Kluyveromyces lactis: one gene and its partner. The protein of the gene in region 1 interacts with the protein of each later gene in a pairwise test. Links are inferred from orthologs where the notes say so. Each region holds a gene or a part of one and is shown on either strand. Other genes may lie near its edges. The genes, in order: DBP2 and NSR1.

Region 1 (4,365 bases):
TGATATTAGTTCAACAGATTGGAAACAGCACTATACGTGATGATGGAAACTTTAGCTGATAACTGGTTAGGTATACGGACTGTCCTTGTTTTATGATTTGTGAATGATATTTGATACTTGACCCGGATTGTTATGCTAATTCTGTAACGGCCTCCCCTGATGATTTTTGCCAAGGGACTTTGGGTATGTCTCGCTTTGGTCGCATTTTCTCATTTCTTTTAGTTTACTTTGCTTTTTGTTCGGGATCCGTTGTTTATATACTATGGTGTGGTACCCTGAGCGTGGCTATGAGCAACACCTGTGCATTGCGCGGTAACTGATGAAGTGTGTGACACGTGATCTGGTATTTCGCATCAACTTGCTTCTTTCAGTTACCCGGTCAAGACCGGGTAAGCTTTTTGTTTTTTCCTTTAGCATGATTTGGTTTTCCCTCTTCTCTCTATCGAAAAAACCATAATCAATATTGACAAATTGTTCAGCTTAACAGAGTAGGTCATCTCGTCTTATTGACTGTTTGAAAGAAGTACGCACAAACCACCTAAGTGACCATTCATAAGCGCTCTCGGAAATATGGCTGAAGTGGAAAAGCAAGATGTTGATATGCTAGCAGCTGAACAAAATGATCAAGTTGATCAAGTGGAGGAAGAAGTGGACAGTGAAAAGATCAAACTTCTCACAGAAGCTACTTCCGAAGATGGTACTAGTGCTTCTTTCAGAATAACAGATGAAGATCATACCCTTGGTAACACGCTTCGTTATATGATCATGAAAAACCCGGAGGTAGAATTCTGTGGTTACTCTATTCCTCATCCTTCAGAAAACTTTTTGCACATTAGAATTCAAACATACGGCAAAATTACTGCTGTAGAGGCTTTGCACAAGGGTCTTGGAGATCTAATGGACATGTGTGATGCTGTAGAGGACAGATTCACGCAAAGAATCAGGGAAATGTAGAAATTGGTTATCTCCAGCTCCCGCATTAACTATATATAAGAGAATAGAATTAAATACACAACTACATCATCCTTGTATAATACACTATAATATCTATTGATTCTACGTTTATAGCTACTGGTAATCTAGCACATTGGAAGCACCGTTGGATATACCATTGGCAAAAGTAGCTGGAGTGGCTAATGTAATCACGTGACCATTTTGGTAAATTGGTACATTGGTACAAATTTCTTTTTCTCTCTTTTTTGTTTCTTTTTGAAAAATTTGCAAGTTCCCTCATCGCCCTTTGAAACTAATATATAAGCTGCAAACATTATTCAAACCTGTCTCTGATCCTCGTTCATTCAGTATTACAAGTGTGCATTTTTTTTTATCGTTTGGTTCTCAACATCAAGCAACTTATTTCACACATTATACAGAGAACAATGAGTTTCGGCGGTGGAAGAGATCATCAATTTAACAGAAACAACATGGGCAGCACTCATGGTGACTTCCGTGGTAGCAGAGGTTCTGACAGAAACAGCTACAACAGAGGTAATGACTTCCGCGGTGGCCGTAGCTTTGGTCGTGGTCCATCTCGTGATACCAGAGTTGATTTGGTCGCTCCAAACTGGGACGAAGAACTACCAAATTTGCCAGTTTTCGAAAAGAATTTTTACCAAGAACATCCAGATGTTGCTCAAATGAGTGAAAGTGAAGTTATCGAATTTAGAAAGGAAAACGAAATGACCATTTCTGGTCATGACGTTCCAAAACCTATCAGAAGTTTTGATGAAGCTGGTTTCCCATCTTATGTCTTGGATGAAGTTAAGCAAGAAGGTTTCGCCAAACCAACTGGTATTCAATGCCAAGGTTGGCCTATGGCTTTGTCTGGTAGAGATATGATTGGTGTCGCTGCGACCGGTTCCGGTAAGACCTTATCATACTGTTTACCAGGTATCGTTCATATTAATGCTCAACCTTTGCTATCTCCAGGTGATGGTCCAATTGTTTTGGTATTGGCTCCAACCAGAGAATTAGCTGTTCAAATTCAAAAAGAATGTTCCAAATTTGGTGCTTCCTCTAGAATTAGAAACACTTGTGTCTATGGTGGTGTTCCAAAGTCTCAACAAATCAGAGATTTACAGAGAGGTGTAGAAATCCTGATTGCTACTCCAGGTAGATTGATTGACATGTTGGAAATTGGTAAGACAAACTTGAAAAGAGTCACTTACCTTGTCTTGGATGAAGCTGATAGAATGTTGGATATGGGTTTCGAACCTCAAATCAGAAAAATTGTCGATCAAATTAGACCTGATAGACAAACTTTGATGTGGTCCGCTACTTGGCCAAAGGAAGTTAAACAATTGGCAAGTGACTATTTGCATGATCCAATTCAAGTTCAAATTGGTTCTTTGGAATTGTCTGCATCCCACACAATCACTCAGATCGTCGAAGTCCTTACTGATTTCGAAAAGAGAGATAGATTGGCCAAGCATTTGGAAACCGCTTCTCAAGATCAAGACTCCAAGATCATCATTTTTGCTTCCACTAAGAGAACTTGTGATGAGATCACTTCTTATTTGAGAACTGAAGGCTGGCCAGCTTTGGCCATTCACGGTGACAAGGCTCAGAACGAGCGTGATTGGGTTTTGGCTGAGTTTAGGTCCGGTAGATCTCCTATCATGGTAGCAACTGATGTTGCTGCTAGAGGTATTGGTATGTTATTGAAATTTAATTTTTTCAGCATTGGTTTGAACTTTAGTTTACATTGAGACTATCGTCAAACCTTTCTACTAACTATATTAGACAACTGTCGAAGTCATTTCTTTCGAAATGATCACGATATGCCTTTTTATTCGAATGACACGGATGTTTTCGATTCAAAGGTAAAAAATAATGAGCTGGTCTTATTATTTATCAACGAAATCCTATTGGATTTGGTGCGGACAGAGAAAAGGATATGAAAATACTTTTCATTTTGACTTCCACAATTATTGATAAAGATTTAGAGACTTGACCAGTCCGATGTGATTTGATTTATTCAGATCTCTAGAATTAAAAGTAGATTGGCAAGCTTACTAGTATTCATGACAATCAGGTTTTGATTGGACCGTTGGGTTCGAATGTGTGGTGAAGTAGCTTTTACACAACGTGGTTTTCTCGTTGCATTGAAGGCTGTGATGAATTACCGGACATTCGATACTTTTTCTAATCATGTTATCAATTTGACATCTCTTTGATGCAATTTTGCTGAAAGATGTTCTTTATTTTTAACATGATCGTTTGAGTTAGATCAGATTCGCGTATCATTAATTGTGCTTAGTAGTAGATTGGAACATGAACCTAATGAAATAAGGATTCATTCATTTTAACAAAGAGGTTAAAGAATTAAAAAACTGATAAAATAGCGTCACAGGATGGTTTCCCTGTTATGCAAAGTGTGCATTCAGTTTTATTTTTGCGATTCCTCTTAGTAGTTGTTCCATGTATTCTATGAAGTTAGAAAGAAAAGTACATATTTGCGACATAAGCAAGCCTTACATAAATCTTTGTCTTCCACCGACTATTCTGACATGAATAAGCCGCGCGGGCTAATGTTATAATAAATCGTTGATTGCGCCCTCTGGATTTTATATTCTCATTTGGAAGTGCTTCGAACTTGTGCTGTCAATATAGTTACCATTACGATTTACGAACGAACTTACTAACTTCATTCTTATTCAACAGACGTCAAGGGTATTAATTACGTTATCAATTACGATATGCCAGGCAACATCGAAGATTATGTGCATAGAATTGGTAGAACTGGTAGAGCCGGTTCTACTGGTACTGCCATCTCCTTCTTCACTGAAGGCAATAAATCTCTGGGTGCTGCTTTGATCAAGATTATGAGAGAAGCTAAACAAGATATTCCAGAAGAACTAAGAAGATACGACAGGGGTCAATACGGCCAACATCCAAGATATGGTGGCGGCCGTGGTGGTCGTGGCTTTGGTGGTGGCCGTGGTGGCCGTGGCTTTGGTGGCCGTGGTGATGGTGGTTACGGTGGTGGTGGTTACGGTGGTGGCCGTGGCGGCTTCGGTGGAAACAGATCCAGAGACCAAGGCTGGAGACGTTAGTTTGTATAACGTCTTTGCGATTTGTTCTTTAAAAAACATTATATATTTGCTATCTGCTGGTTGCTGGTTGCTGATTATAACAATATTATTCTATATATTTATGTACATTACTATTGTCTAATTGATAAACTTAAGAATTAATAGAGTCTGCCTACCAATCATCACCCCAACCGTCCTCTGTATCGTCATCATCGAGGACAAGATTTGACATTTTAGATGGAATATTGGTTGCGCTTTTGATGTTTTTGCTGGAAGTTACAATAGGAGATGATGATTTATTTCTGGTTAGGATTGATGGTTTTGCACTTGC
Region 2 (3,299 bases), on another chromosome or scaffold:
GGATACACCTCCACAATATTCGTAGCTAAAATTCTTCTTTTCAGTTTGTGTGTGCGTGTATGTGTGGCTCTCAAATTGTCCATATCTTTTGAGGTGGGTTACGACTGTCATACGAGTGTATTAAGGGATTCTGTAATGCAGTCAATTGTCTTGAAACTTGTCTTCTCTTTTTTCTACACCTTTAAAACAAGATTCAAAGATGAAGCTTAATTTTACAAAATGCACAGATTCGAGACTCTTTTCCATAGACCTTCTTCGCAGACTTCTAGTTCAAAAAATATTAAAAGCTACTATACACACATATACAAATGATTTAAAGAAAATAAAATAAGAAAATAGAAGATGAATGCGATTCAGTGAAGTTTACAATGAATCAGTTGTTGATCTATAGATACAAATAAGATGACGAATGGTTATTCTTGTGATTTAATTTTTTTTTATTTTTATTTTTTGACACTCTATTGTTTCAATGGATGAGAAATGATCTTCTTTATTCCCAAGAGCATGTTAGGATGATAATGAAAAGTGTTTTCGACTTTGAGGAATGAACTTTGTTTAACTCTTGTGTATTAAGTATTCAAAAATTCAATCGAAGGTCTTTTTGGTACCTTGGAAGGAAGCAGTTTGTCTGGTAGCTCCTAGAGGAGAAGCGTTAGAACCGGAACTGAATTCTCTACCTCCTCTGTTACCACCGAAGCCACCTCTACCGCCTCTGCTGCCGCCTCTACCGCCTCTTCCACCTCTGTCAGAACCACCTCTGTTAAAACCACCACGTTGGTTGTTGCCGAAGTTTTGCTTTGGAATGGAGTAGTCTAATCTGACTGGTCTGTTATTAATGTATTCACCTTGTAGACCTTCAAAGGCTTTAGTGGCATCTTCAATACTACCGTATTGAACGTAACCGAAACCCTTTGGTTGTTCAGTTTCTGGGTGAGTTGGGATACGAACAGAAACAATTTCACCATATTTACCAAAGATCTCGTACAAGTTGTCTCTGTCAGCTTCGAAAGACAAATTACCCAAGAACAAAGTGTCAGATGGTTCAGATGGAACGTCGCCGAACTTCTTTGCTCTGTCGTCTCTTGGAGCACCAGCTGGCTTCGAGGTAGACATATCACAGTTGATTGGTCTTCCGTCAATTTCCTTACCGTGCATTTCCTTGATAGCTTTTTCAGCGTAGGATTTGTCTTCAAAATCGACATAACCATAACCACGGGATCTGTCAGTACCTCTTTCGTACATAACTCTGGCACTAATGACACCACCGATTGGTTCAAATTCGGTCTTTAACCATTCATCGTCAATGGACCATGATAGTCTACCAACGAAAATAGTAGCTGGTTCACCAGCCAATTCAGTCTTTGGCTTTTTGCTTTCAGATTTCTCTTCGTCATCATCAGCCTTACGCTTGTTAGAGCTTTTTTCCTCTTCTTCATCGTCATCAGATGAAGAGTCAGAATCAGATGAAGAATCAGAATCAGATGAAGAAGCGGAAGATTCTTCCTTCTTCTTTTCCTCCTTCTTTTCTTCTTCTTCGTCAGAATCAGAGTCGGAGTCTGAGGAGGAGTCGGAAGAAGAGTCAGAATCGGAGGATTCTTCTTTCTTAGCTTCTTCCTTTTCAGATTCGGAATCAGAATCAGAAGAGGATTCGGAATCAGAGGAAGATTCTTCCTTCTTAGTTTCCTTCTTTGGTTCTTCTTCTTCGTCAGAAGAGTCAGAAGAGTCAGAAGAGGAAGAAGAATCGGAATCAGAAGAGGAATCAGAGCTAGAATCAGAGCTAGAATCAGAGCTAGAATCAGAGCTGGAATCGGAGCTAGATTCTGGTTCAACAGCCTTCACCTTCTTTTCATCTTGCTTCTTTTTTAGCTTTAGGTCCTTCTTGGAAACCTTCTTGGAAACCTTCTTGTCAGTTGATTTACCCATTATGTGAATTGTATGTTTGAGCGATGATATTATTCTGTACTCTGTTAATAGATAATCAACAAGACTCGATGCTACAAGAATTGCGTTTCAAAATAGCGTTATATCAATAAATGTTAGTTAATGAAGAAGTGTTACTGAGCAGGTATAACTTATCTTCTCTTATAACAAACTTCTTTTTCCAATGCGATGAGCTGAAGAGTACAGAGACAATAATTTTTCACTTAAATCGTTTCTTTTCCGTTTTTGTTTGGGTTTTTTTCACTGAAAAAACTTTTCATCACATTTTTTATTGAAAAGAAATTACCATGAAAATTCGTGATAATTTGGTGCGAGGTATGGGTTCTTTTAATTTCTGGCGCGCGACTGCGTTCTCTCCAAGGTTGTATTCCTCTGATCCGATGGCAGTTGATGAAATGTCAACTGTGAATAATCAGTGATGAATAGATGAAGAAAACCTACAAAGCAGATATTCATGACATATAGTTATTAAATTATAGTGAAAATGGTTTTAAATTACGAGAGAGTATTGATGTTAGTTTGTAATCTATTAAAAAGTACATAAAGGTATACGTCACAAAATACACTTTATAATTGTCCTCAATAATTTCTTAGTTCATTGCCCAATATACTTATAGAAAAAAACCGAGAGACTTTTATAATCGATAGTGCACCCACCTTGTGTTGAAAGAACATGGGAAAAAATATTTAGGGTCAAAGGATTTGCTTCCTTTAAGTAAAACAGGAGAAATAGAGATGCAGATATATCAGTGTTTAAATTAATGTTTGTGTCAAAATTGAAGGTAAGAATGAACTTGAAATGGTTAGTGTTGGGTTAGAGCTTTAAATACGATGAGATTGATGCCCGATAATAATTTCTCAATTGTATTTATTCTTCGCAATAAACTCAGAGTAGAGAGATTAATCCCAGAAATACTCCAAATATTGTTGAAGATCTTGCGTTTATGGAAGAAGCAACACCTTGAAATATTGAAATCGAAGAAACTGCTCCAAAGCTTACCGTAGAAGAACTTTGTTCTGTGTCTGTTTTTGGTGCTTGAGAGGTAAAAGATTCCAATGAAGGTTCCATAGGTTCCGTAGTTTCATTTGGTGCTGATGATGGTGAAGAGTTTGATGGTGAAGTTGAAGTTGTTAGATCAGTGACTGGAACAGTGACTGTACTTGTAACAGTCGTACAGCGTGTTCCATAACAGTTCTCTGATGTGATGGTAGTTTCTGAAAGTGGTGTGGAATAGATCTCTGTTGTTTCGGTGGTACCTGATTCAGTACTTGCCTCAACATTTGTTTCAATACTTGATTCAATAGTTGGTTCAGTAGTTTTAAATGAATCAGTTTTTATTTCTGATGTTGTAATTGTT

The links.
Region 2: the proteins of DBP2 (region 1) and NSR1 interact in a protein complementation assay, tested with the Saccharomyces cerevisiae proteins (2 studies listed by BioGRID). The link is inferred for Kluyveromyces lactis from reciprocal best matches to the Saccharomyces cerevisiae genes DBP2 and NSR1.

Annotation. Positions count from the first base shown.
Region 1 is NC_006042.1:2,215,144-2,219,508, reverse strand, and holds DBP2 (DEAD-box ATP-dependent RNA helicase DBP2), read left to right. Parts: upstream 1-1,379; coding exon 1,380-2,652; intron 2,653-3,663; coding exon 3,664-4,055; downstream 4,056-4,365. Other genes in the region: DNA-directed RNA polymerase core subunit RPC19, read left to right, coding at 571-954; COPI-interacting protein CEX1, read right to left, coding at 4,207-4,365. UniProt on the Saccharomyces cerevisiae protein: ATP-dependent RNA helicase involved nonsense-mediated mRNA decay and ribosome biogenesis through rRNA processing. Associates directly with chromatin, correlating with transcriptional activity.
Region 2 is NC_006039.1:990,247-993,545, forward strand, and holds NSR1 (Nsr1p), read right to left. Parts: upstream 1,924-3,299; coding exon 586-1,923; downstream 1-585. Other genes in the region: KLLA0_C11517g (gag-pol fusion protein), read right to left, coding at 2,828-3,299. UniProt on the Saccharomyces cerevisiae protein: Involved in pre-rRNA processing. Specifically binds nuclear localization sequences. Candidate for a receptor at the nucleus that may be involved in both RNA and protein transport. Binds telomeric sequences of the type (TG[1-3])n in vitro.